4 linked regions of the Arabidopsis thaliana genome follow. The protein of the gene in region 3 interacts with the protein of the main gene of each other region in a pairwise test. Each region holds a gene or a part of one and is shown on either strand. Other genes may lie near its edges. The genes, in order: AT5G11870, NRT2.3, AT2G43420 and AT2G41610.

Region 1 (5,687 bases), on a different chromosome or scaffold from region 3:
ATCCAAGTTACAATTTGGATCTACGGTACTTGTATCTAGAGCAAGCAATCGATCATAAGGGTTCTGTGCATCCAAATCCCGAGAAGAAGGAGAGTCATCATCTTCCATTAAAACCCTATTAACATCAACTTGTAACTGAATTAGACAACAGAACTCAGAGCCTAATGCAACTACTCCACAATTTCAATATCTGACCATTATTCACATTCATACCCAAACACTACTATAAATCTACAAGTACAAGGTTCAATGATAAAGTTTTCAAATTTACCTTGTAGAAACTCTCTTCACTCCTGTAGCTACCGACAAAGCAGAGACACCGGAGATAGATCAGTTCCCGAGAGCCGTCAAATTACAAACAACTAGCTCATACACTATCTGAGAACGAAAACAGATCTTGGATTAGAAAAGGAGCAAAGCCCTAGATACAATTCACAAAGAAGGAACCAAAACAAAAAAGTACCCAGATTTAAAATATTTGAAAGATAAAAACTTTGGAGCCAAAAGAAGCAAAATTCGAAAACTTTTCATCGCGGAAAGTGACAGAAATCAATATTTTAAGAAAGAGAACCGAACCGGAACTGAAACCCACGAAATCGATTTCAGATAATTTTCAATTTTGATATATATATCTAGGGCTTTTAATACGAAAAAAGGGGGGAAAAAAGACATGTGGAAAAATCAAAGCTTTTTACTGGGATAAACGATGGATAAATCTAATCTTTCCGCTTTCTCCGCAAATTTCTCTGCAAATTTCAAAATTTCTTCAACGAAGCGCACACCTAGATTAAACTTCAGTAGCCCAGAAATTCGAGCTGAGATTGAAGAGCTAAGAAGAAGAAACGGAGAGGGAGAGAGAGAAAAAAGAAAACCCTAGAGAGAGTATATTCGTCGGAAAAAAGTACCTCCGATCAAAAACGATTTCTTCTAGCTTCCGTCTTCTTCTCTCTCTCTCTTCGAAATAAAAGAGTAAAATATTTGCTCGAAATGAATGACAGACGACTATAGTCTACATAAGCAATGAAATATTTCATTTAAATGCCCTCATACTTTATTAATATTTCATTAGTAACCTCGATAGTTTTTGATTTGTTAAACTAAACCCCAAACATTCGAAGAGTATTAGGCCGGTAAATGATGACGTCATCTCCGGTTGGAGGATAGTACAACGATGCCGTAGAGAACTAGAGAAGTGTCTTTTTCTTAAAAAGGAACCTTCTGTTTTTTACAAATTGAACATGCATGTTATGGATTATTGGAATAAAAAAAACGTTTTGAAGACTTTTGAATATTTTCTTTGAAAAATGAAATTATACAAGATTATGTGACTTGATTAGATTTGATGTTACAAGTTAAGTTGGTTTAGAATAATCTTTGTTTAGTACTACTATATATAGGATGATCTATTTTTCATTGGTTATAGCTAGAATGCTATATAGAATTGTGGAATGTTGTTTCATGTCATGATTATGCAGATTTATTACCAAACACATAAAAGATTAAGAGGTATGACATGAATGACGTGTTCTGCTGATTATGTTTACGACGAAATCCAAATAAAAGACAATTTGATCCAACACAAACTGAAAAACACTCAACCTGCCAATATTATTCAAAGAAATGAACAACATCAAACTTGTATTCAAGCATGGCACAATGGATGATTCAGAGAGGACATGATGGCTTAAAACAACATTGATATATTTACGTTCCCAATTTGAGCTTTAGAATATATGTTTGTAATTTGAGAATACATATGATTGTTTCATCTTCTTCCCCATCTTTCTCTTATACTCTTTCGTTTTCTTGAATACTTTGTAGCATAAAGAGCATTTAGACTCTTAGTTCATTCTCTTTTGAACTTTGTCTCATGTTAATCCCATTTTTGTTTTTGTTTCATACATGGCTATCTATGTGGGTTACTTCTAAGAACTACAACAACACATCAAGGATATATAATTTAGCAATTTTCTTAGTTAACTTTTCCTTCTCCTAGAAACACTAACCAGGAAACAGTTAACTAAAACCACTCCCGCCAAGTTTTGAAACGTTGTACATATATATAGGAGTGAAAATATTACTTTCAGAAACATGGGGTGGGATATATATAAGATATAAAAATGTAAGGGGTTACTTTACAAATAAAATAGAATAGAAACAAAACGTAGACGTTTAGAGCGGTCCTCGTCAACTACGACAACATTAGAGATCGATCGTCGTCGTCGTACCCGTCAGACTCAAGGAAAAAGAAAAAAAGAGATTCCGCCGCACGTTGTTCTAATCGAAAAAAGCGACTCTCAATAAATCTGTCTTCCCTTTTCTTTCTTAAACTGGAAGAAGATTAATCAATCAGACACAACAGAGATAACTGATTTATCCACTTCAAACAATACAAACCTTTAAAGTCTTCACCTTTATAGAGAGAACTTTTAATGGTGTGGTTGACGAATCAACAGATAGGGAGATGGAAAAGGAAACGAATTTTGGTTGTGGGATCGTTCCTCTGTTGGTCAATCATCATGTTCATCACTCCCAAAGTTCCTCTCGATTCATTTCGCCATCATATCTTCGCCGATAAACGCAATTTCATGGGTATCATCATCATATCACACTCTCTCTTCTTTTTTTTTTATCTCTCTCTGTCTCTGTGCATGTGTAATAACGAGAGACAGGTGTTTTGTGTGGGTTTGATGATGAACAGGAGTGCCTAATACATTGAATGTGATGACCAACTTTCCCTTTCTTATCGTTGGAGTTCTTGGTTTTGTTCTTTGCATTGGAGGAAGCTTCTTCAACATAAGGTATCATTCTCTTTCCCTTTTTTGAGTTTTATTTTGAGTTAGTTTAACAATTTGAGTTGTTGTAATGCAGTTTAAATGGTGAGATCTGGGGATGGACACTGTTCTACGCAGGCATTGCAAGCTTGGCTTTTGGTTCTGCTTTTTATCATCTCAAACCTGATGACAACAGAATCGTCTGGGACACTTTGCCTGTTCGTTTTTCTCACTTTACTTTTCTTCGGAACATGAATCTTCTTTCAGTTATGCATTCATTGCTTCTTGATTAGTGATGCGGTAATTGTATATATTGACAAGCACATTGTGAATACAAAAAGTTGAAGAATCATCTTATAGCTATGTAAAAAAGCTTAGATTAGACTTCATGGTTTTTCTTGGATTGGTTGGTTCTACAAGCACATAGTGAAGTGAACACAACTCTTATAGCTAATGGAAAGAAGCTTTAGAGATTTTTCGGGTGTAGAGTTGTGGTTTTTGGTTTTATTGAATGGAAAGTTGTTTTTGCTCATCATTTTTGATGGTTGGTTTATGAATAGCTGTTTGTTGATTAATGACGGTAAATTGCAGATATTGATTGCGTATTCGTCGCTTTTCTCTAGTTTTTTGGTTGAGAGAGCGGGGGAGAAAGTGGGACTTAGTTGCCTCATCTTGCTTCTATTTATATCATGTCTCAGTGTTGCTTACGCCAGGTAACATTAAAACCAAGAAAGCATTACCTCCTCTGTATACATATATGTTCATGGTTTTAGTCAGGTTTCGGATTGAAATTATATGTGTCTTAGTTGATGGCAGAGTGTTTAATGATCTCCGGTTATGCATGACGTTCCAGTTGATACCGTGTCTGGTGATTCCCGTCATGGCGGTTTTGTTACCTCCCAAATATACACACTCTAGATTCTGGCTCTGGGCAACAGGTTTTTAACTCAAAACCACATTTGCGGTTTTCTTATTAGAATCCACGGTCTTCTGATATCTGCTTATCATGAATGCAGCGGCGTACACTATTGCCAAGATTGAAGGACTTGCAGACAACAAAATATACAATGCAAATCGATATATCATCAGTGGGCATTCACTGGAGCATTTGTGTTCTGCCGTGGCTACGCTTTTACTTACCATTATGCTTTTGTATAGAAGCATTCGGTTTAATAGGTAACGTTTTTTCACTGACTCTTTCTCTTTGATCTTTGAGTTCCTTGAAACCTGAGAGGATTTTTCACTTTTCTTTTGTATGATGGAAACTAAAACAGATTAGGTGATCTCAAAGGCCGTCCTTGACATTCATTACTGACTCCTCAAGTTTTTTTTCTCTTGTATTTAGATGCTTCTGGATTCTTGTATTACAAATTTTGTTTGGTTGCTAGATAGATTTTGACCCATGATCCCACTAAAACATCGTTAGCTTGGTGTAATCTTGGTTTCTGGTTCTGAAACAGCTTTGGCTTTAAGGTTACTTATTCAAGTCTTATATATGTGTTTGGACAATGGACAATTTTACATGTAGTAACTAAAAAGAAACCAAAAGAATAATCATAACTCACAAATACACCTTTTATTTTCGGTCTTGACTTGTGACCTGTTTCTTATTCATATGATCACTTTATTGAGGACTTTAAATCATAGCACAGAATGTGGAAAAATCCAAGACAGCAATAGCATTATAGAAACGTAATCATACAATTCATCTAAAATAGCAACAATGATGAGTAAATCTCGGAGTTCATAGTCCTTCAAAGAAACGTAAATGGTCATCGAATGTCTCAGCATGCCTGATCTTAGTGATCGACCCATCTTCTTCAACCTGCAAAAAGAAGAATATAAATCAATCACTTTCTCTCAGGATCTTGACCCTCCGCTAAATTTCCGCAGAAAACGATAATAAGAAACAGTATTGTTACCCAGTATTCCGGGGGACGCATCTTGAGATTGTAAGTGGAAGCCATACTCATACAGTATGCACCAGCGTCATGAACCACCAGACCAGCTCCCTGTAACGTATACAAGAAACTAATTAGATTCCATATTACTTGAGCTGCCAAACATAATCAGATCCTTATAATACCTGTGGAGGAGTGGGAAGCTCTCTGTCTTTGCCCAAGAAATCAGCAGATTCACAAACAGGACCCACTACATCGAATTTGGTAACCTCTGCTTCAGGCGGTGTAGGAGAGACCAACTCAATATGCTTTTGCGTTAAAAAACAAAAACAAGAGGATGTTTAGCTATAGTTCAAAGGGACTAGAATCTGCAGATGCTGTTGTGAAAAGTATATTTGTTTTACCTGATAGGCATCATAAAGACTGGGACGGATAAGCTCAGCCATACTTCCATCAATCACTATGAAGTTTTTAGTTCCATTCGTCTTCACACCAGTTACATGGTTGACGAAACAACATGTGTTTGCAATCAGTGATCTCCCTGGCTCGATTATTAGATTCAGGTCTCGTGAAAGAACCAGCTCTCTTACCTATGAAACACATCCAGGATTCTAAAGATTCTACCATTCCAGTACTTTTGAGATCAAGATAAAGAAAAGAGTTTTGAGCTGTTGTTCTTACGGTGTTGATAAGATCCATGGGTGTAGGAAGGACAGCGCCGGCATGATAATAATCTATCCCTAAACCACCACCAATGTTCAAGTAGCTAACCTCAAAGCCTTGACGCCGGATTTCATCAATGTATTCAATCATGAGAACCGCAGCATCTCTGAATATATCCACCTGAAATAAACAGAACATACGTGAATATGCAAAGCTCAAGACTCAAGAGTTAAAATTTAAGAGATTGATTACATTAAAACACAAATTAAAAGGAACTATAGTCGGAGTTACCTTTGTAATGGTAGAACCAAGATGACAATGAGCTCCAACAAGCTTCAGCTCTTTGGGA
Region 2 (5,921 bases), on a different chromosome or scaffold from region 3:
GCCTAACATGCTTCTTCTTGATGAGCCTACTAACCATTTGGATATCGAGACAATCGACTCGCTTGCTGAGGCATTGAATGAGTGGGATGGTGGTTTGGTTCTGGTTAGTCACGACTTCAGGTTGATCAACCAAGTGGCTCATGAGATATGGGTTTGCGAGAAACAATGCATCACTAAATGGAATGGTGACATTATGGACTTCAAGAGGCACCTTAAGGCTAAAGCCGGACTTGAAGATTGAAGATAGAGAGTCGAGTCTTCTTCTCTTGATGGAAAATGGAAAAGACTCAGATTGGGGTCACATGCTAAGAGAGAGAGAGGGAAGGCTTTGGTTTTTTTGATGGGTTTGGGAATGGTTTTTAACGAGTTCTAAAGCCACACACTTGAGAGACAGAGAAACCATACTCACTAATCTCTGCATTTCCTTAAGAGGTCAGAGATTCTTTCTATATTAGTATTATCATTATCATGTGCACCTTCTTTTTTTTTCGTTATTGTTGTTGAACGTTTTTTTGAAGGCGAAACAGAGAGAAAAGTAATATTTTTTGGTGGTATTGTAGGATTTTTTTTTTCTGTTTTTTTAAAGACTGAGATGTTGACGATTATGGTATTATATTTAATATTAAAGTGGGAATATTCTCATAATTATATTCGAATATTCTCATAATTATATTCGAATATTCGTTGGAAAGGTGACTCAGATATTCCATCTTTATGTTGATTCCAGTGAAGGAATCTTGAATCAAATTACAGAGTTGCACATAAAATCTCTGGAGTATCTCTTGTAAAATGAGTAGTGTGAGTGGAAAAAAATAACATATTAATCTTCTGAATCAATATTTCGAAAATCTATGTAGTTTATTATTTTCTCATACTCTTCTTACATTCTTTCGATGAGATCCGTTTCTGTGATGTAAAGATCACTCATTCAATTGCTTCTTCCGTGGTCCTTGTCCATAAAGTTTTCTTCATGTGGACTCTCTTAGCATTTCACACACCGTAAACAGAGACTTTTTTTGTTTTTTTCACTTGACATGTAAATCTGATTGAACATAAAGCTTATTGGTGCAGAAAAAAGAGTAGTTGAACATTCTGATGACATTACAATAATTTATACTAAAGTACCAAGCTCATCGATCCTTACCTATCACAGAAAAGGTCTTACTCGGTACATATATGAGTGGAGTATGAAACTATTAAAAAGGGATTTAATGTAAAAGGAAAATCTCTTGTAAGTTTTGTCTTCAAACATGACTTGGAGTTCCGTTCTCCGGCGTTGGAATGTTAGCCAAAGCTACTTTCCGGCCTCTCTCTGACCTACTATTCTCTGCAAATTTGATGCTTCCTTCGTGCAATCCTTGTTGTTTCTCATTCTCCGTCCACTCAGAACCGTAATAATATTCCTCCTGTGATCTTTCTCCATCGGTCGACGGTCTTAAAAACATGCTTCCCCATTGCGGAAAATGTATAAACGCAACTGGGAGTGTGCACAAAACCGCCATAACGCCCATCAATGAGAGTCCCTCAGCTGTACTAAACCTCGCTGATGAGAAGAAAAGCAGTTGAGTCAAACCGGACCCGAAGTTTCCTCCTGCGCCGGTTAGTCCCGATATGAGCCCTAGAGAGCGGCGCGAGACAAAAGGTGCAACTCCGAAGAGGGCTCCGCAAGCTGCTTGTGTACCGATTGAGAAGAGCATCATTGCTAGGATTGCTATGGGAAGTGAACTAGCTCGACCTAGCCAGATACAGAAAAGAGCTCCTACGGTTTGAAAGATCCATAAGGTCCATAACCGGCCTCTCATGCCAAAAACCCGAGCCGCTACATCAGAAGCGTAACCACCGAAGGGACGGGCGATGAAGTTAGCCATTCCAAAGCTGGCTGCTACTATACCAGCTGTTTGAAGCTTAAGGTTAAACCTGATAAATACGTAGAGAACAAGAAAACAAATTAAGGTTATTACCTTGTGACAGAAGTAAGTAAGTTCATCAGTTGGGTTTTAACGAATAAGAAATCGAACCTGTCGTAAAAATATCCGGAGATAACGTTGTTGATAGTTAATTCAATTCCCATGGAAGATCCATAAAGAACGAATAAAATCCATGTTCTGTAGTTCTTCACAGCAAACCAGAAAACCTATAACAAGAAAAACCTTTAGACACTAGAAATTTATTTAACTAAATAAACGAAATAGTTCTTCACGAATTTATTGCAAAACTTCATGAGTATGTTTAATGTTTGCAAGATTCTTTTAATGAGAGCCATATTCTTCTTGGTCTGGATTTGTTATATATTTGAAGATGAGACAGAAATATATATATATAGAAAAGTACCTTGGAGAATTTGTCTTTAGAGACTTGACCACTCTTCTGAAGGGTACTTAGGTTACCGTCAGGGAGATCTTGGCCGAGACTGAGGACGAGAATGCCCATAACAACTTGAAGAAATCCGGGAACGAAGAAAGCTATCCGCCAGGCCATGAACGGAGTGGCTCCGGCAAGTTTGATGACGTGGAAGACCATCGGCATTAGGAGTTGAGTCACTCCACCGCCCATATCACCCCACCCGCCTGCACAGCCGTTCACTAGTCCTATGATCTTACCGTTGAACATAACGCTGGTCCAATACTGGCATGATACAAACGTGGCGAGACAGAATCCGATCATGAACCGGACGCCTAAGTATCCGCTAGGGCCACCCACAAACGACATTGAGAAGACGGTTGGGGCGGTTAGCATGAGGGAGAAGGCAGTCCCATATCGTGCACCGAGGAGATCACAAACCGCTCCCATGGCTAACCTTGAGAAAATGGCACCAGAGACGGATGCGACTCCGGCGTTTCCAATGTCGGTTTTAGTGAGGTCGAGGTTGTCGCGGATGATGGGGACTAATGGTGCTGCCGCGAAGGTGGAGATGAAGCATGTGAAGAATGAGAGCCATCCTAAGTGGAAGGCTCTCATGTGAGGTTTAGCAAAAGAGAGTGGGTTGAACACTTTGGCTCGATGTTCGGAATCAACCGGAAGGGCGAATTTAGCTGTTGGATCGTCTGATTGGACTGTTTGAGACGAAGCATCGACGGAGAAAGAGAAGACTTGTTCTCTTGCTGTAACTCCATGCAAGGAGGTTCCAATGGAGCCTTCTTCATTAGAATGGTTGTGAGTCATTTAAGGCGAGAGTGAGATGAAAGACTCTGAGTGGGAGAGAAGGCTAATGGTCTTTGTTGTGTTTTGTTGGTGTAAGTTGGAGATTAGAGAAATGCAAAGTTTATATAGAGGCCAGAGGGGATACCAATATCATATGGTGGGTAGGGTTAGGTGGGTCCAATAATGAGATTTGAATAAGATAAGTAAAAGTTAATAAGGACTTTACCAATTTGTGAAAATTTTATTATTGTTAGCTGATAATAGCATTTAGTATAGATATGAGTTGTAATTTTGATTAGTAATGATAGAAGGAAAAAATTATTTAAATTTGAGAACTAAACATATTATTCTTTTGTAGCATTTAAGTACGTTTCATACGTACGTGTACCATATTTGGGTTATGAGTTTTGTCTCACACATTTATGAATTGATTCTTGAGTCTTTGATTTGAAGGTTTTGGTTTTAAAATAGGAACCGTGAGGGTTTATCAAGTATTAGTATTTTCTTTTTTCTAAACAAAGTTCAAGCAACTTTTGTAAGGTTGAAAAATTTTCAGTCAGAAAATCAATGTTTGCACTTCTGTTTGACAAATTATAATTTTAAGTGAAATGCAGAAGAAAACTTTATTTCAACTTTGCATAAAGTTTCGTTTGAGAATTAAAAAGTATGGAAAAGAAATCTAAAAATAATATTTATAAATCTATTTGGTATAGTAGCAGCCTGGCAAGTTATATACATCAAAGATAATGACTTTGTGGAATTTCACTAAAATGGCGAAAGAGATACGAATGTTGACAGTTGGCATTGGAAATAGCTAAAAAGCCTAAGAGGCCGTACGTATCAATGAAGGCAAAAATCGTCAAAAAGTCTAATTATTTTTCATTTGTCTCTTGAGGATTCCATGTGGTCGACTCACCAAATGAAATAATTGCTATCTTAAAATAATTTCCTAAAAAAATGCTCTAACGTTTATGAAATTATGGGTTATTCACTTATTCTAAATCTTTCCGCCTTTGATATTCGCATATCCTTACAATGAAGCGTTATGATAAGTTGACTTCCTTATGTTTTTCCTTATAATCATCTATCATCTCAATATAATATATAAGCTATAAAGTCTAAACTCTAAACATAATTCTTTACTAAATATGATTTCTAAGTGTTGTTGTTTCCGGCCATCCGCAAATACTCAAAAGAACTATTCTCTCGAATATTGTTGATGATATTTTTGTAAACTAGAGATATCTTGTATTGTCTGCAATCATCAATAAATTACGGTAAAATAGTCTTATATATATATATATATATTTTTTTTTGGTAAGAAATAATTTTATATTTTGTTATCTCTATACTTATCACATTTTATTTGGGCAACAAACTGTAGATTTTAAATAAAAGTTTAAGTCTTATAGGCTTTAGAATTATCCATCATTAAAAAGGCGAAATCTTTTCTTTTTGTAATGGTTTTAGTTCTATATATATATACTAGATTTTAACCCGCGGTACACCGCGGAAACAATTTATTTTTTAAAGTTACTATACATAAAACTTTGCAAATTGTATTTATCTATAAAATATTTTTATTTTATAGTTTACAATTGTTATTAAGTAACGTCCTGCCAAACCCGTCCCGCCAACCCGTCCCGTAAAAAAACCATTTATTTTATTAATATTGATCTTATTTATGATATTTTTATGAATTATTGTCTAAATATTTTATAATTTTGTAGTAATTAAATGCTATCAAATATCTCTACGGTTTGATGATTATAATCGAATTGTTATAGTCATGGAGAAAAACAATATCAAAAATGATAATTGTGTAGTAATTAAATGATATTAAATATTTTGGAAGTTTAATTTTAGTAACTAACCGTGTAGTTAATGTGGAGAGATTTAGGGAAGATTGTTAAATGTCAAATATTTAATTTGAAGATTTTTTTTCTAATTATCAAAAACAAACATTAAAATCCAGTGGCAGCCATTGTAAATAAGTTCCAACTCTAGAATTTATTTCACAAAATGGCTGCAAAAATGTATATATATATTGTTTTTACATGTAGGGGAAGGCAACTAAAAAAGTCCAATGTTTATAGGTTAAGAATCGAAAATTGTGGAAAGGTCAAACAAAAAAAATTGTCTCTAACTATTTTTCATTACAGGAGTTATTGGCTCATTGACTTCTCAAGTTTATAGAATGTTTATTGCTCAACTTGGTAGACTTCTACTTTTCATGTATACGTAAAACTACAATGCAAATAGAGTCTAGTTCTTCATCAAATTACCATAATTAAAACTTAATTATCTATTATTCATAATACTATTTAGTGGAACTCCTTGTATATAAAAAAAACTTTAACAGACAAAACAAACAATGTTGAGAATTTCTTAACGTTAGCACTAGCAAAAAGCTATACAAAAAAAATATTTCAGTTTTTGTCTTTTCCTTTTTTGTTCGCCCGGTTCAGGTTGTAATTTGTTTGATATAGGGAAAATTACAACGAATTCGACAGATAAAAAGATTCAGATAAGTTTTTAGATTGGATTTTTCAATTTGGTTTGGATTTCGTAGATACGGGCTTTTGAAGTGAACATCACTAGTATATACCTTCAAGTGGATTAATTGAAAAGTAAACGGTGTGAATAGATTGGAGTCAAAAGTTGTAGGTTAAAAACAGATTTACTTTTTATTCAGCGTGAATAATTATGACTCCTTTTTGTAAATTTTCAGAAAGTTTTAGTTGTATAATGTAATAGTCGCGCTCCAATGACGGCAATTT
Region 3 (7,755 bases):
TTAGCCGCCTTAACAACCACGTAATTTGTCTTCCTGAAGCATCGAGCCAAAACAAGCCCAAAACTCCCTCACACTGATATGGATATGTGCCAGCGATACTAGGAGTTAGGACGATACGGTTGCCAGAATTTTCTGTTTCGCAGATGCAGTTATTGATATCTACGTACCGCCATAGACAAATTTCTCCACGCGGTTTGATTTTTGCAGGAAACTGAACTTTTAAACTCCAAAATTTCTTATCTGTTTGGCCGATGATAGAGTTTGCTCGCTTCCAAATTTTCACCATTGCGAATTTCGAGTGGAGTACGCAATACATTCATACTCAAGCTTGTGAGATTTAACATCTGAAGCGAACCTGAAATCAGACTGCTAAACGCGGATACAAGTTTGCAGATAAACGACAATCGGATTAAACCTTCTTCGCATAAACGAGAGTAAACATGTGTTTGATGTATTCTTTTGCAGAGCTCATTCGCTAAGAGTTATATATGCTTTAACATCAAATTTTGCAGAGCTTCTCTGTGGTTTGGCTTTGCGCGAGTTCGATATAACCAAAGTAATTTGAGAAAAGACGTTTCGATCGGATCAGGTTTCGCCTTAAGCTAACGACGTATAATAGAAAAAAACTAGGTTTCGACTTTGATTTGTACGATGAGGAAAAAAAAAACAGATTCAACAAGAAATTTTTGGACTAAACAAGCATCATCAAAGTTTTGTGAACCTGGACTATGAATTCGCAAAAAGAGTATAATCGTTGACAAAAGACAATCAAAGTTAGAGAACAAACGAAGATATAGATAAGAACAAACCGGTCGTGCGTATTCGATCTTAATTTGACTTCCATTCAAATTTGCTCCTTGAAGAGCCTCTTTGGCTGCGACTGCTTCCTCCACATGTCTGTAGTATATAAACGCAAAGCCTCGTGAAGAATACACCGTGATTCTATCAATATCGCCGTATCTTCCAAACAACTCGGTCAGATCTGACTCTGTCGTCTCCGGCGTTAGGCTACCGACCCAAAGATTGTTTGACTGGAAACCGGAATCATCGGCTCTGAATGGCTTCATAGATAACGCCATCGGGATTGTTTCAATTGACGATCCTATGGATCCAAAATTCCAATCCCAGAATTGATTGTTTTACCTTTGGGATTATGAGATTTCGATTATCCACGTGACGGAAAACGAGAGACGAATTGTGCGATGATACGTTGAGCAAGAAAAATTCGATGAGAGATTTGGGTGTTCAAAATCCTACCTACAGAGAGGAGAAGAGAACCCTAGATTGAGTTTGAAGACGAAGAAGATTAGATTGTGAGAGAAAGAGAGGCCAGGGAATATCGAAGCGGCGGCTTTTAAAGGATATATAAGGATACTTTCCTTTTTTTTCTTTTTTTTTTGGAAACCGGATCAAAACGGTGCATTTTGATAGTAGTTATGGCAAATTCGTAAATAATCATATATCCATCCCCTCTCAGTGAAGATTACATCCTGATAGCATAATGTTTGTACATAAGACATCTAATAACTGCAATTAGTCTCTGGGATTGTTGGTGTTCGTTTAGTGGAGGACTTTGGAAGCTTCACATGAACATTGGTTTAGATGAAGCATCAGAAACAGGTATCACCATCCTTTTAATAAATGTTAAGCATTCGACGAATATCCGGGCTAGGTGGTAGAGCTCAAGCTCGTATTGCTCGTAGATGAAGAAACCGGTGAATGAGAACGACATAACTGTCCAAGCAAAGCGTAGAGAAAATGTTATGGATAAAGAAGTTGTTAATCATGTTTATGAAGTTGTTAATCATGTTTATGAAGTGTGAAAACAAAAGCTTTGTTCGAGTACCTGTGAAAAGAAATGCTGCCAATGAACGGGATACAATCAGTTTGAGGAGATACAGTGATCCTGCAATCTGTTTTTATGTTTTGTTTTAGGAAACGAGAGCAATGAGATATTTTTCATGTTTGGTGAGCATAAAGAGTAGAATTGTACCTTGAAGAACTTGATCCAGTCTCCTCCACTGCTTAAGGATTTAAAACTGCGAACTCCTTGATTCCAGACAACTACGATATCACTACTAAGATCTCTCACAGCGGATTCGGAGATCTCAAATCTCCATGGGGGTATTTTGTTGACTTGAAACCCGAAACTGTCAAAATAAATCAATCTGTCACTTAGTTGCATATAGATTTCAAAGGTGAAATATATATACATGGGTGCATCATCCTTTGATAGGACAATTTTGGTATCACAACTTATTTTCACTGCCTTCTATAATGGTAAAGTTCTGGAACCAATACTTACATCTTTGACGGCACAAAAGAGACTCCATAGAGAGCAACAGCAAATATAAACAGAAGTTGGGCTGCAGATGAAGTAAATGTGTTTCCAGAAAAGAAGAACCAGTAATAAAACAAGTTTAGGACAAGAAAAGAAACGAAGGTTTTCTTCTCATTTCTCCACAGCAAGATGTCTGCAACTGCATGAGAACATAGAGATGAAAAGCTAAGTCAGTTTAAAGAGATTAATATTAAAAGCTTGCATTGACCAGATTCGCTTTGAGTTTGTTTATATGTGCATGAAATAAAGTTGGAACTCGCATGAAATTACATGGACTGGAAGAAGATGTAAATTAACCAAGCAGATACTTCAGCATGTTCTAGACATCTAGAAGCAAACAAATCTAAGTTGAAAATAGAGATAGATTCTTTCCAGGTTAAGCCTTGTGAACATGCATCATCATATCCATAGCTAGATGAGATGCGGACTTCAAGCAATACAACTGAATACTTAGCCAAGAACACTTCAAAAAGGCATTATAATTGTTAATAGCGAGATGGTTCTAACCTTTCCCACAACCAAGAAGCTGATCTGCAGTAGATTGAATGATTGTGTCATCAGACTTCTCAAGATCCCGAGAGAACCATTGAAGCGTTGATGCAATACCATCCTACAAATCCAACAAGAGCTAATAAATCCAAGGAAGGTACTAAGCAGCTGAATATGCAAAAAGCCAAAATACTATCCAACAAACTCACTTCAAGTGTCACAACAGGTGTGTAACCAAGATGCTTCTTAGCTGCATTGCAGTTAAAAGTTCTCGTTGATGAAGCTAACAGAGCATACTGATGTGCTGTGTCATAATTACTCCCAAGGCCCTCCTTTTCATGTGTCCACTTAAGAAGTGAGAAAACATACAAAACCAGCCGAACAGGAAGTTTAATGGATGGTCTGCAATTAAAGAGGAAAAAAAAATATCAAAACAGGTAAACCAGAAAGTTAGCTCTAAGGATCTAAAACTTTTCAAAATGATCAATATTTAAGACATAGGAGAAGGAAACATATACGACCATGTATAAAATACTAAATATCAGCGAATCACCATGTATAGATAGTTTATATCTAAAAAAACTAATTGAATATGGCTGTTCTCGAAACGGTTCTTCTAGACATGTCTCCAGGACATCTATCAACAGAAAATTAAGATCTTTTGCTTTAAGAAGGGAACATTCAAGGTAGGTTCAGAAGTTCTGAGGAGCCTTTTTCCCATGCTACATTGATAATCAGGAAACAGAAAGATAAAAGGAGTTCACAGCAAGTTTCATTGTATCAAAAACTGTTCGGATGCTTATTTACCTTGGGTATCCCAGACCTTCAACTATATGGCTTACAAAGTCCCAAAATCTGACCGGCTTGAGGTTTGTGATAAAAAATTCCTACATAAAGTCGGCACAGTAAAAATTCATCACATATAAAGTTCATGCGCTTTCAGGAGTGATTTGGCAAATACACTTTGACTCAAAGAGGTTACCTTTCCAGCCACAAACTCCATCTGTGAATCTAATGCTTTAACGGCGCAAATATGTGCATGAGAAACGTTCTCCGAGTAAGTGAAATCAGAGATATTTTCACCACTCCCGAGTATAAACTGAAATTTTAAAAACTAAGACAGTCATTCCTCCAAAAAAGGAAAACTAAGAATGCATCAAGCTCAAGGAATACTACCAGGTATAATAAGATAATAAACGTAGACGCAAAAACGCAACAATGGGATGAACTAATAGTAAGACCTTTGCATATCCGGACTTGGCTAGATTCACCAAAAAAGGTACAAACTCTGTGTCACCAGGTCCAAATACAATGCTAGAGCGAAGTGCACAAGTTAAGAGACCATCTCGGTTGTTAGCCAATTTGATCAACGCTTCTGCTTGAGCTTTGAAGTCTGTCAACATAGATTGGAACTGCAAGAGAATCAGAGCAAAACAGATATCATCTCTGAAAAAGACCAACGACAAAAACCAACTAAACAAACATGCTCAAGGATTACCTTCAAAGGACGTCTCAAGGATTCATCACCATCACGTATAGGTTGGGAACCATCAAAAACAACATCAGCTGTACTGTTGTAGATAAGTTTTCTGACTCCAGATTCACGACAGGCAGAAATCACATTTCTTGTACCTATACGAGAAATCGATTAACCACCCAAGTTTAACTAATATAATGGTAAACCATCTTGAAGTGACTAAGAACTTTACCTTGAACTATAACCTTGTAGCAGTCAAAGTAATCATGGGAACGTAAATCAGTAGCTCCCATGTAAAATACAACATAGGAACCCTCGGTAACTGCAAGGAACAAAACAGTCACACCAAAACTCAAATCAGAACCCGAAAATCTCAAATAGCCAAACACTCCCCCATAGCATTTTCTAGATACCAAAAACCGATCCATCAATGTCATATCTAACAAAGTGCAACAGGAAATAAGAGGAAAACCTTTAACGATCTGAGGTTTATCACGAACATCGACGCAGTGATAAGAAGCGCGGCCGGAGGAGAGAGCATCCTCGAGGAGCGAATCGGATTCATCAAGATGGAGAGTGTGACCGGAATCTGCGACTCGGACTGTCCAGTTTCCGAGACGAAGCAATCTGGAGACAAGCGATCGACCAATGAACCCTCGTCCGCCGAGGACGACACATGTCTTGAGGTGAGAATCGCCATGGACGGAATCTTCGTCCATTGTTATCGCCGAATTAAACCCCAGCTCTATCGCCTTTTCTCGGTCGAGTCAACTCAGAGAAAAAGGCCGAGTCGAGTTGGATCAGTGCACAAAAAGCTGAATACTAGGGGTTGCTTGGCGGGCAGACTCTCCACTCGCGCAACCTTTTAGCGTTTTCCTTTATTCTTCGGCTGTGTAATTATAATTTAATATTCACACTTTTTTGCCATAAATCTATGGATTTGACTTAATTTATGTAAATTATCTGTATAATTATTCCTTGGTTACAAACAAATCTAGTAAAGCTAATATTAAATCGTAGACGCACGGTTGCGTTTTCACGTTTGGTGAGCCAATTCCATCAATCCACCAAACATATGATTTCCATTGTTAGAAATTTGGTAAGCACTTGTAGAGAGAAACTAAACCGTATCTATCTATACACTTGTGTATGTATGTTGAAGCATTCATTACACTTGAAAATCTCATAATTTAATAATTGAGTTTAAACTAAATATTTAGATTTTTTTGTGTTGAATACACAACTTCAAATGATAACTGAAGAAAGCCCAAAACATATAAAATATTGATCTTTGCAGCTGATGATTGACTTGCAAATTTTTCTATACAAATAAGAAAATATACCCAAGTTTTCAGAAACGATCTCTGGCTCTCTGTATACGACGCAATGCTTCAGCTTCGGTTGCTGAGTCTGGAATGCTTAAAGATTTTCGGATATCTTTGCTCGATATTCTGAGGAATGGGTTACACGCTTTCTCAACCTTGACAGTCGTTGGAATCTACAGACAACAAATCCGTAAGTAAATGAAATCTAGAGAGAGGTTTAGAGAGAAAGAGGAGATAGGGAAGAGATAAGAGGTTTTACCGATGGGAGCCCCTGGCTGCGAAGATGGGCGACTCGAGTTGCATAGGACTGAAGAGTTTCATTCTTTGGTTCTACGGATAGAGCAAACTTGAGATTGCCCTGTATCATGGAGGAGATATAAAAGAGAGTTGAACAATGTGAATTAAGAGTATTTATGTGCGTGGAACTTACTGCTGTGTTTTCACGGCCGCAGTATATATTTGTATCGTCTGGTAGAGACACGATCTTTTGGAGTGATGAAAGCATCTGAGTCATAAGGCAAAAAAGGTTTTCTCGTTAAAAAGGACAGAGCACAATAAGTTTGCTTCTGTGAAAGAAACTACAATGTACGGTTATTAGAGTACTCCCAAGTCCCAAGTGATCTCTCCATAAAGTCTATACCATTTGACTCAGCACAGTTTGCCACAAGAAAGTAACCATAACAGTAAAAAGATATGAAGGTTGAAAAAGAAACATGATTTAGAAAACCACAAATCACTTGGCACAATTTTTGCCACAAGAAAATAATCATAACAGTGCAAGGGTCGAGAAGGTTGAAATATTGCTTTTTGAAATTGATGTTACCTGCTCAGGGGTACCTTCTGAAAGGGTACCACAGGATAAGCTATATATCAGGTCTCCTGTGAATATTGTCGCTGACCCGGGAAAGTAGAAGCTAATATGGCCTGCTTGAGAATAAGTACAGTTAAGTGATAAAACATGGCACCAAGTATACATTAATTACTAGTTGTACTACACTAGAACGATAAAAAAGGAGAGCAGTTACACAGTAATGTATTGAGGATAACAAATTAGAATGACAAATAAGATACTAATATGTGATCCACCAAAGGTTTCTAACGTTGGCAATATTTGACTGTATAGATGTGTTCTTAGTATTTTACAGTAGAGGTTATGGCAGCTACAAACCTTGTGTATGGCCAGGAGTGTCAAGTATCCGAACCTCATGGCCAGCAAACATCCACTTATCACTATCCTTCAGAAGTATGTCAATTCCAGGAATCCGATCTTTATCTACAGCTGATCCAATCACCTGTCGGCAACATAAGTCACATAAAAACACTTGAGTATATATAAAAGAAGCAAAAACGAAAAGAACAACTCGACAAAGGTGCAAAACAAAAAGGTCCAAAAAACCATTTTTTCTGGTAAGACTAATACTTTACGACATCTCAAAACCAAACCATTGTATTGTAGAGCTCAATGTTTCACAGCTATCAGAGGCAAGAGACACTCCAAGGAAACAAAATAAAAAGAGGGCTAACTTGCGCAAAGAGCAGAAACAACACAAGAAACAAGGTCATACAGTTTTAAACAGAAAATAGTATCCTCTTACCTTTGCGCCATACCTTTCTTTCAATTCAGCATTCCCCCCAATGTGATCATCATGATGATGAGTATTCAAAATGTAAGTTAAATTCCAATTCTTCCTGCTCAATGCTTCTATAACAGGTGCAGCCTCAGAAGGATCAACGACTCCAACTGTTCCGGTGTCTTCATCGTGCAACAGATAAGCATAGTTGTCCTTACTGCAGGGCACCTGAAACATCTCAGTAAAATAGATCGTTAATAATATCTTCAGCAGATTGTTACAGAGTTGTTTCAACCAGTAGATTCAAGATGAAAAGCATACTAACCAGTTCGATTTTTAATGAGGATGGCATGTTGGAAATGCTACAAAAGTGAGTAATCTTAAGAGTTTTTCTAGCTCCACGCAATGTTTTCAGTGGCATGGATAATAACCACATTACTCCGTATAATAAGCTTTTCCTGAGGCAAAGTTGTCTCAAACCAGGCCACACACAAAGCTGACCTCCAATCTGTTTCATGAAATTCAATCAACAAATCATAATCTGACACAAAA
Region 4 (4,598 bases), 690 kb from region 3:
AAGACTGCAGGTCAACAAGAAAAGCAGCTTCAAGATATAATAGATGAGTATGGTTTTTGGTTAGGACATACTCCTACTTATCTTTAAATTCAGCATTGTCTTAGTTTATGTTTCAGTTTGGAATAGGCTTGTTGCCTTTTATGTTTAAGTGGAAAGTCCACTGATCAACTTTTTGTAAGAACTTAAAATGTTATCAATGAAAAGATATCAGTTCAGAGAGAAAAAAAAAAAAAAAGATACCTCAAGATCTATGCTTTTTTTATCGTTTTCCTATGATGTTATGTCACGTTAACACTATAGTATTCACACAATAACTGATTTATCTTTTCCAGAATAATTTTACTAACATAAGTTCTTTTTAGTGTTAAGTGATGCTTGCTTGACGCTGCGTGCTCCGAATTTTTGTTCTCTCTCATTTGCCTTTTTTTTGTTCGTAAATTTTTTTTTATTGCATTTTCTCACTTTTTAGTCCTTTCGGAGAAAGATCAAAAGACATTATAGGTCAAGTATTGATTTACAAAGATAAATACATGAATGAGGGTGGTTATGTAGATGTCGATTACTACTCACTATCTCATGACTAATCATCTTGAAAGATCAAAGATCAAACCAAGCTTGCTTGAAAATTCAAAAGCATACGATTTGGGGTCCCATTTGTTGGAAATATTACAGTTAACATGTATTCGTCGATACATCTTCCCTCAAAACATCCATTGCAAGGACTCTCTTAGCTAATAATACTACTCCTAAGGCATTTTACCATTGTTCCAAAAACAAAACTTGAAAAGAAATGAGCTTATGGAGTAAACACTCACGGCTTTGGAGAATGTGACATAGTTGATTCAAGCCTGCGTAACCAGTTAACGTATTGATCCTGCTCCTTCTTGTTCAGGTGACACAAAAGGAAATTAGTTAAGCCTTCACTGACCCCCTTAGATATTAGGTATTGCTCCAGTGCACTGTGTAGTTTGGGATCTACTTGGCTAAAGAAACAAAGAAAATAACACTGGTCATTGAAATCAAACATATGCAGACACATGAACCTCTAATAGTCTACTTCTTTTTCAATATATATAGAACAATTACTCCAGGGAAAGAACAATGGGAAGTGTACCCAATGCTTTGAGGTTTGGATGAAGTAAAACAGATATGATTCAAGTAACTTAAACAAAATGTTGAGAGATTATCATTTATGAGCTTACTTCACCTGAAAAAATGGTCTCCATAAGTGGAAGAAGGAGCAGAAACAAAAGAGCGGATAAAGTAGGCGCTCTCGATGTCGAAATGAGAAGATCCAGATCCTGATTCGTAAACCCGGCAATGAAACTGCAAGATAGAGCTGAGACCAGGCTTTTTGATACAAACTTTGGCATGAGCTTCCCTAGGAAACACTAAATCATCTTCTAGTTCTATAGGTTCTGGTTGCAATAAAGCAGAGACCACAACCTTCTCGCCTGAATCAAACTGTCTCTTCAGAACAATATCTTGGCTTTCCGGTGAATCCCAATCCAATTTGAAATCTCCTAGAGAACCGGTCTCAACGCCCTGTGGGGTTCAAGCACAAAGCAAAATCATAAAGGTAGAATGTAAGTACTTAAAATCCTAGGGTTTATGAGATCCAACATCAAATTCAAATTCGCCCATCTGGTAAATCACTCTAATGTTCATCAATTCAGAAAAATGAAATTGAAACTGACAGAGTCTGATCGAACTAATGTTGAGCACCATTGATCTTAAAACTCAATTGAGAGATTACTGAGAGCAACGAAGAAGAAGAAGGAAAGAGGAAGACAACAATTTACCTGGAAACGAGGATGGGAGATTTCGTGACGAATTTCACTTTGGAGGATCTTCAACAAATCACCATTTTCAATAGCCTTCAAGCCTCGTTTCAGAAGCGGATTCAACTTCCTCATCTCTCTCTTTTCCCTAAAATTGGCTTCTCTCAATCTACGGAGCACAAAAACTAAAGTAGACTGAATCATGATCCGGTTCGGTTTAATTCGGTTTATTTCCGTAGCAATTTCAGTAGACCGGAATTTAAACGGTTAAACCGAATTCTCAGTTACGTAATCATGCAATTTAACAATTACACAGAACCAATCAATCATCAGCTGCACACCAAACTTTTATTTCCCTTGAAGATCAAGGCTTCTCTCAATACATAGTTTCATTCAAAGGGTGATTTTTTGTATTAATAAACAAAAAATGAAGATAGAATTCAGATTTCAGATAGAGTTTCATTATCCATTTTAGTTCAAGCATCTATAACCAGACAATGAAAGAGAATCAACCATATGATGATGTCACGTCACACACACTCCTTATAAACTATATGTGTAGCTTCTAAGGAAACCAAAAACATATAGATCAAAACAAAAAAAACAAACAAATTATGAATTCAGAATGGGAAATGGATTCTGATAGAAAGAAAACATTTTTCAAATGCACAAAGTGGCAATTCGAGGACACACTTGATCCTATTAACTGTCCTTTCCACTATTTCTGCGACAGCATCTATGCCGGCGACTACCCTCAAATCACCGACGTTCTAGTTTTCTTCTTCGTTACGGTTACTTATTTGACGACGCTAATTGTTGTCGTAAGGAAGGTAATATCAAGAAGAAGAAGAGAAAATGATGATGATGGTGATGATGACAAAGCAAGAAGGTACTTACTTCCTTCTGGTCCAATCTCTCTTCCTTTGATCATCTTGATTCTTGCAAAAGGTCAAAGGATCAATACCCTTTTCCCAATTTCCATCTTTGGACCTGCGATACTACAGCTTGTTCAGCTCTCAGTGCTTTTATTTGAGAACAATATCGAAAAAGAAGCGAGTTTTGTCTTCTTCGAAGCCTCTACTATCTCTGGTATTCTCCACGCTAGTCTTTACTTAGACGCTGTGATTCTCCCCTATTATACAGGATTCGATGCTCTGGTCACATCTACTTTCTCTGGAGTCTGCAAGTCTTGTATATGCAGGAAAGAGCCATTAATAGTGGGAGGGAAGATTGTCTCTTACCGAGGATGGTCTAGTACAACGTTCTTGGTGGTTGGTGTTTTGTTTTTGAGGATTATATGCAAGTTATGCAAAGAAGAAGGAATAAATAAAAGAGTTTTGGTGGTTAAAAATGTTGTGCAAGGACTGACATTGCTTGTTCTTATAAGAGATTGTGTGTACTTGGCCGTTATGTCTCCTGTTGAAGAGCCTATCTTGTTTAGGGTTTTTGTGTTTGGTTTTCTTCTTCTGTTGATATGTGTTTATGTAATCACAAAAGTATGTTGTTTGGTTAGTCGGAGACAGAGTAAGAAGACATCAGACACATGAAATTTGAAACAAAAAGGAAAAATCAGAGGCAAGATGAAGTAAATGTAAATGATTGCTTAATGATGAGTTTATATTGGATGTGATGATGAAATGGTAAAACTTAAACATTACTTCTATATCTATTTATATTTATCCTTATTGTAAATAGTTAAATCAAAACAGTGAGAAGTAGTAGTGTCAAGATGACGCAAGATAGTGGTTACAGTTTTAAACAAGAAGAAATAGAAAAGTGGTGTAACACTTGCTAATTTGCTAGATATTCCATTAGGAAATTGCTTTTGAAAGCCTTCTGAGTTGGTTCATCACTTTACCCGAACAAAAAAATGACTTTTTACTTCTACTAGGCATAAATAAGTCTTGGCTTTTTAATTCAATATATTGGTTATGTTAATGTTGAACAAGATTATATTACAGCTAGTATATATACTGCGATGCAATGTTAAATTTTAGATTTAAACTTTGTTAAAGAAGATTAACCTTAAGAAAATAAAATTCCTAGATTTATAAATATATGACTAACCATACATACATACATATTCAAGTTCAGAAGTCATAGAATTATATCAATAATTAGGTGGTACCACTGTACTATCTTGTATTGTTATTTGTAGCATTGGATAGTTTTACGAAGTTTGTACTTATACATAATGATTAATGAGATCGTCGATCTCTGGTATGCTATTCCGATGACTAATTTATCCCCAAGAACCTACGAACAGAGATTATTGTTACATGAGTTCTCATTGATCATGGGTGTACTTTTATTGATATTAATTGATGAGATTCTAGATCGAACCTCACTTAAACATAAAACATACGAGAAGAAGAGATTCGTGATCCGTAGTAGCTCTGCTTATTCAGATATGACCACACCAATAGAGATGATAAGGACCCAAAAGCATGTACTTACCGAATTACTATGGCTATTGTAAACTTATGCTTAAATCCACGTAGAATTCAACCATAAGCCGGCGTAAAGTAGGTTTAGGTAAACTATAAATGATTAGTCTAAATTTTTAATTTTTTTTTTGTCAATCAATGATTAGTCTACATAAAAAAATATTTCTAGCCCTAACAATTTGCTCAAACACTAATAATATATAGAAGGTTTTGTTAATCAAGTACGCAAGTGAATTTTTGTGCGAAATTAGTTTTTATTTTATTATTATGATTTATACCAGAAACAACTTTATAAGCAAAAATGCACTCAAAGTACTTCACCGAGAGTATGGTGAAGGATCTAGTAAGAAGAGCACTAAGAGAAATTTAT

The links.
Region 1: the proteins of AT2G43420 (region 3) and AT5G11870 interact in a protein complementation assay, tested with the Arabidopsis thaliana proteins (one large-scale study listed by BioGRID).
Region 2: the proteins of AT2G43420 (region 3) and NRT2.3 interact in a protein complementation assay, tested with the Arabidopsis thaliana proteins (one large-scale study listed by BioGRID).
Region 4: the proteins of AT2G43420 (region 3) and AT2G41610 interact in a protein complementation assay, tested with the Arabidopsis thaliana proteins (one large-scale study listed by BioGRID).

What each region holds. Positions count from the first base shown.
Region 1 is NC_003076.8:3,823,288-3,828,974, forward strand, and holds AT5G11870 (Alkaline phytoceramidase (aPHC)), read left to right. Parts: upstream 1-2,132; 5' UTR 2,133-2,432; coding exon 2,433-2,592; intron 2,593-2,701; coding exon 2,702-2,801; intron 2,802-2,871; coding exon 2,872-2,992; intron 2,993-3,365; coding exon 3,366-3,487; intron 3,488-3,590; coding exon 3,591-3,712; intron 3,713-3,790; coding exon 3,791-3,950; coding exon of another isoform or gene 3,951-3,954; exon of another isoform or gene 3,955-4,048; coding exon 4,049-4,076; 3' UTR 4,077-4,286; downstream 4,287-5,687. Other genes in the region: SSP5 (SCP1-like small phosphatase 5), read right to left, coding at 1-108; AT5G11880 (Pyridoxal-dependent decarboxylase family protein), read right to left, coding at 4,519-4,599, 4,697-4,786, 4,861-4,983, 5,080-5,265, 5,357-5,518, 5,630-5,687.
Region 2 is NC_003076.8:24,448,080-24,454,000, reverse strand, and holds NRT2.3 (nitrate transporter 2.3), read right to left. Parts: upstream 3,257-5,921; 5' UTR 3,163-3,256; coding exon 2,332-3,162; intron 2,135-2,331; coding exon 2,019-2,134; intron 1,918-2,018; coding exon 1,245-1,917; 3' UTR 1,037-1,244; downstream 1-1,036. Other genes in the region: ABCF1 (ABC transporter family protein), read left to right, coding at 1-241. UniProt on the Arabidopsis thaliana protein: Involved in high-affinity nitrate transport. Acts as a dual component transporter with NTR3.1.
Region 3 is NC_003071.7:18,029,911-18,037,665, forward strand, and holds AT2G43420 (3-beta hydroxysteroid dehydrogenase/isomerase family protein), read right to left. Parts: upstream 5,273-7,755; 5' UTR 5,027-5,272; coding exon 4,780-5,026; intron 4,630-4,779; coding exon 4,540-4,629; intron 4,463-4,539; coding exon 4,329-4,462; intron 4,243-4,328; coding exon 4,072-4,242; intron 3,930-4,071; coding exon 3,813-3,929; intron 3,718-3,812; coding exon 3,638-3,717; intron 3,233-3,637; coding exon 3,040-3,232; intron 2,952-3,039; coding exon 2,849-2,951; intron 2,481-2,848; coding exon 2,306-2,480; intron 2,151-2,305; coding exon 1,994-2,150; intron 1,914-1,993; coding exon 1,847-1,913; intron 1,735-1,846; coding exon 1,583-1,734; 3' UTR 1,358-1,582; downstream 1-1,357. Other genes in the region: FPA (RNA binding protein), read right to left, coding at 810-1,079; GLX2-1 (glyoxalase 2-1), read right to left, coding at 5,659-5,805, 5,892-5,990, 6,063-6,137, 6,456-6,556, 6,801-6,924, 7,228-7,431, 7,529-7,711.
Region 4 is NC_003071.7:17,344,786-17,349,383, forward strand, and holds AT2G41610 (uncharacterized protein), read left to right. Parts: upstream 1-2,371; 5' UTR 2,372-2,395; coding exon 2,396-3,328; 3' UTR 3,329-3,454; downstream 3,455-4,598. Other genes in the region: AT2G41600 (Mitochondrial glycoprotein family protein), read right to left, coding at 812-983, 1,208-1,545, 1,803-1,985.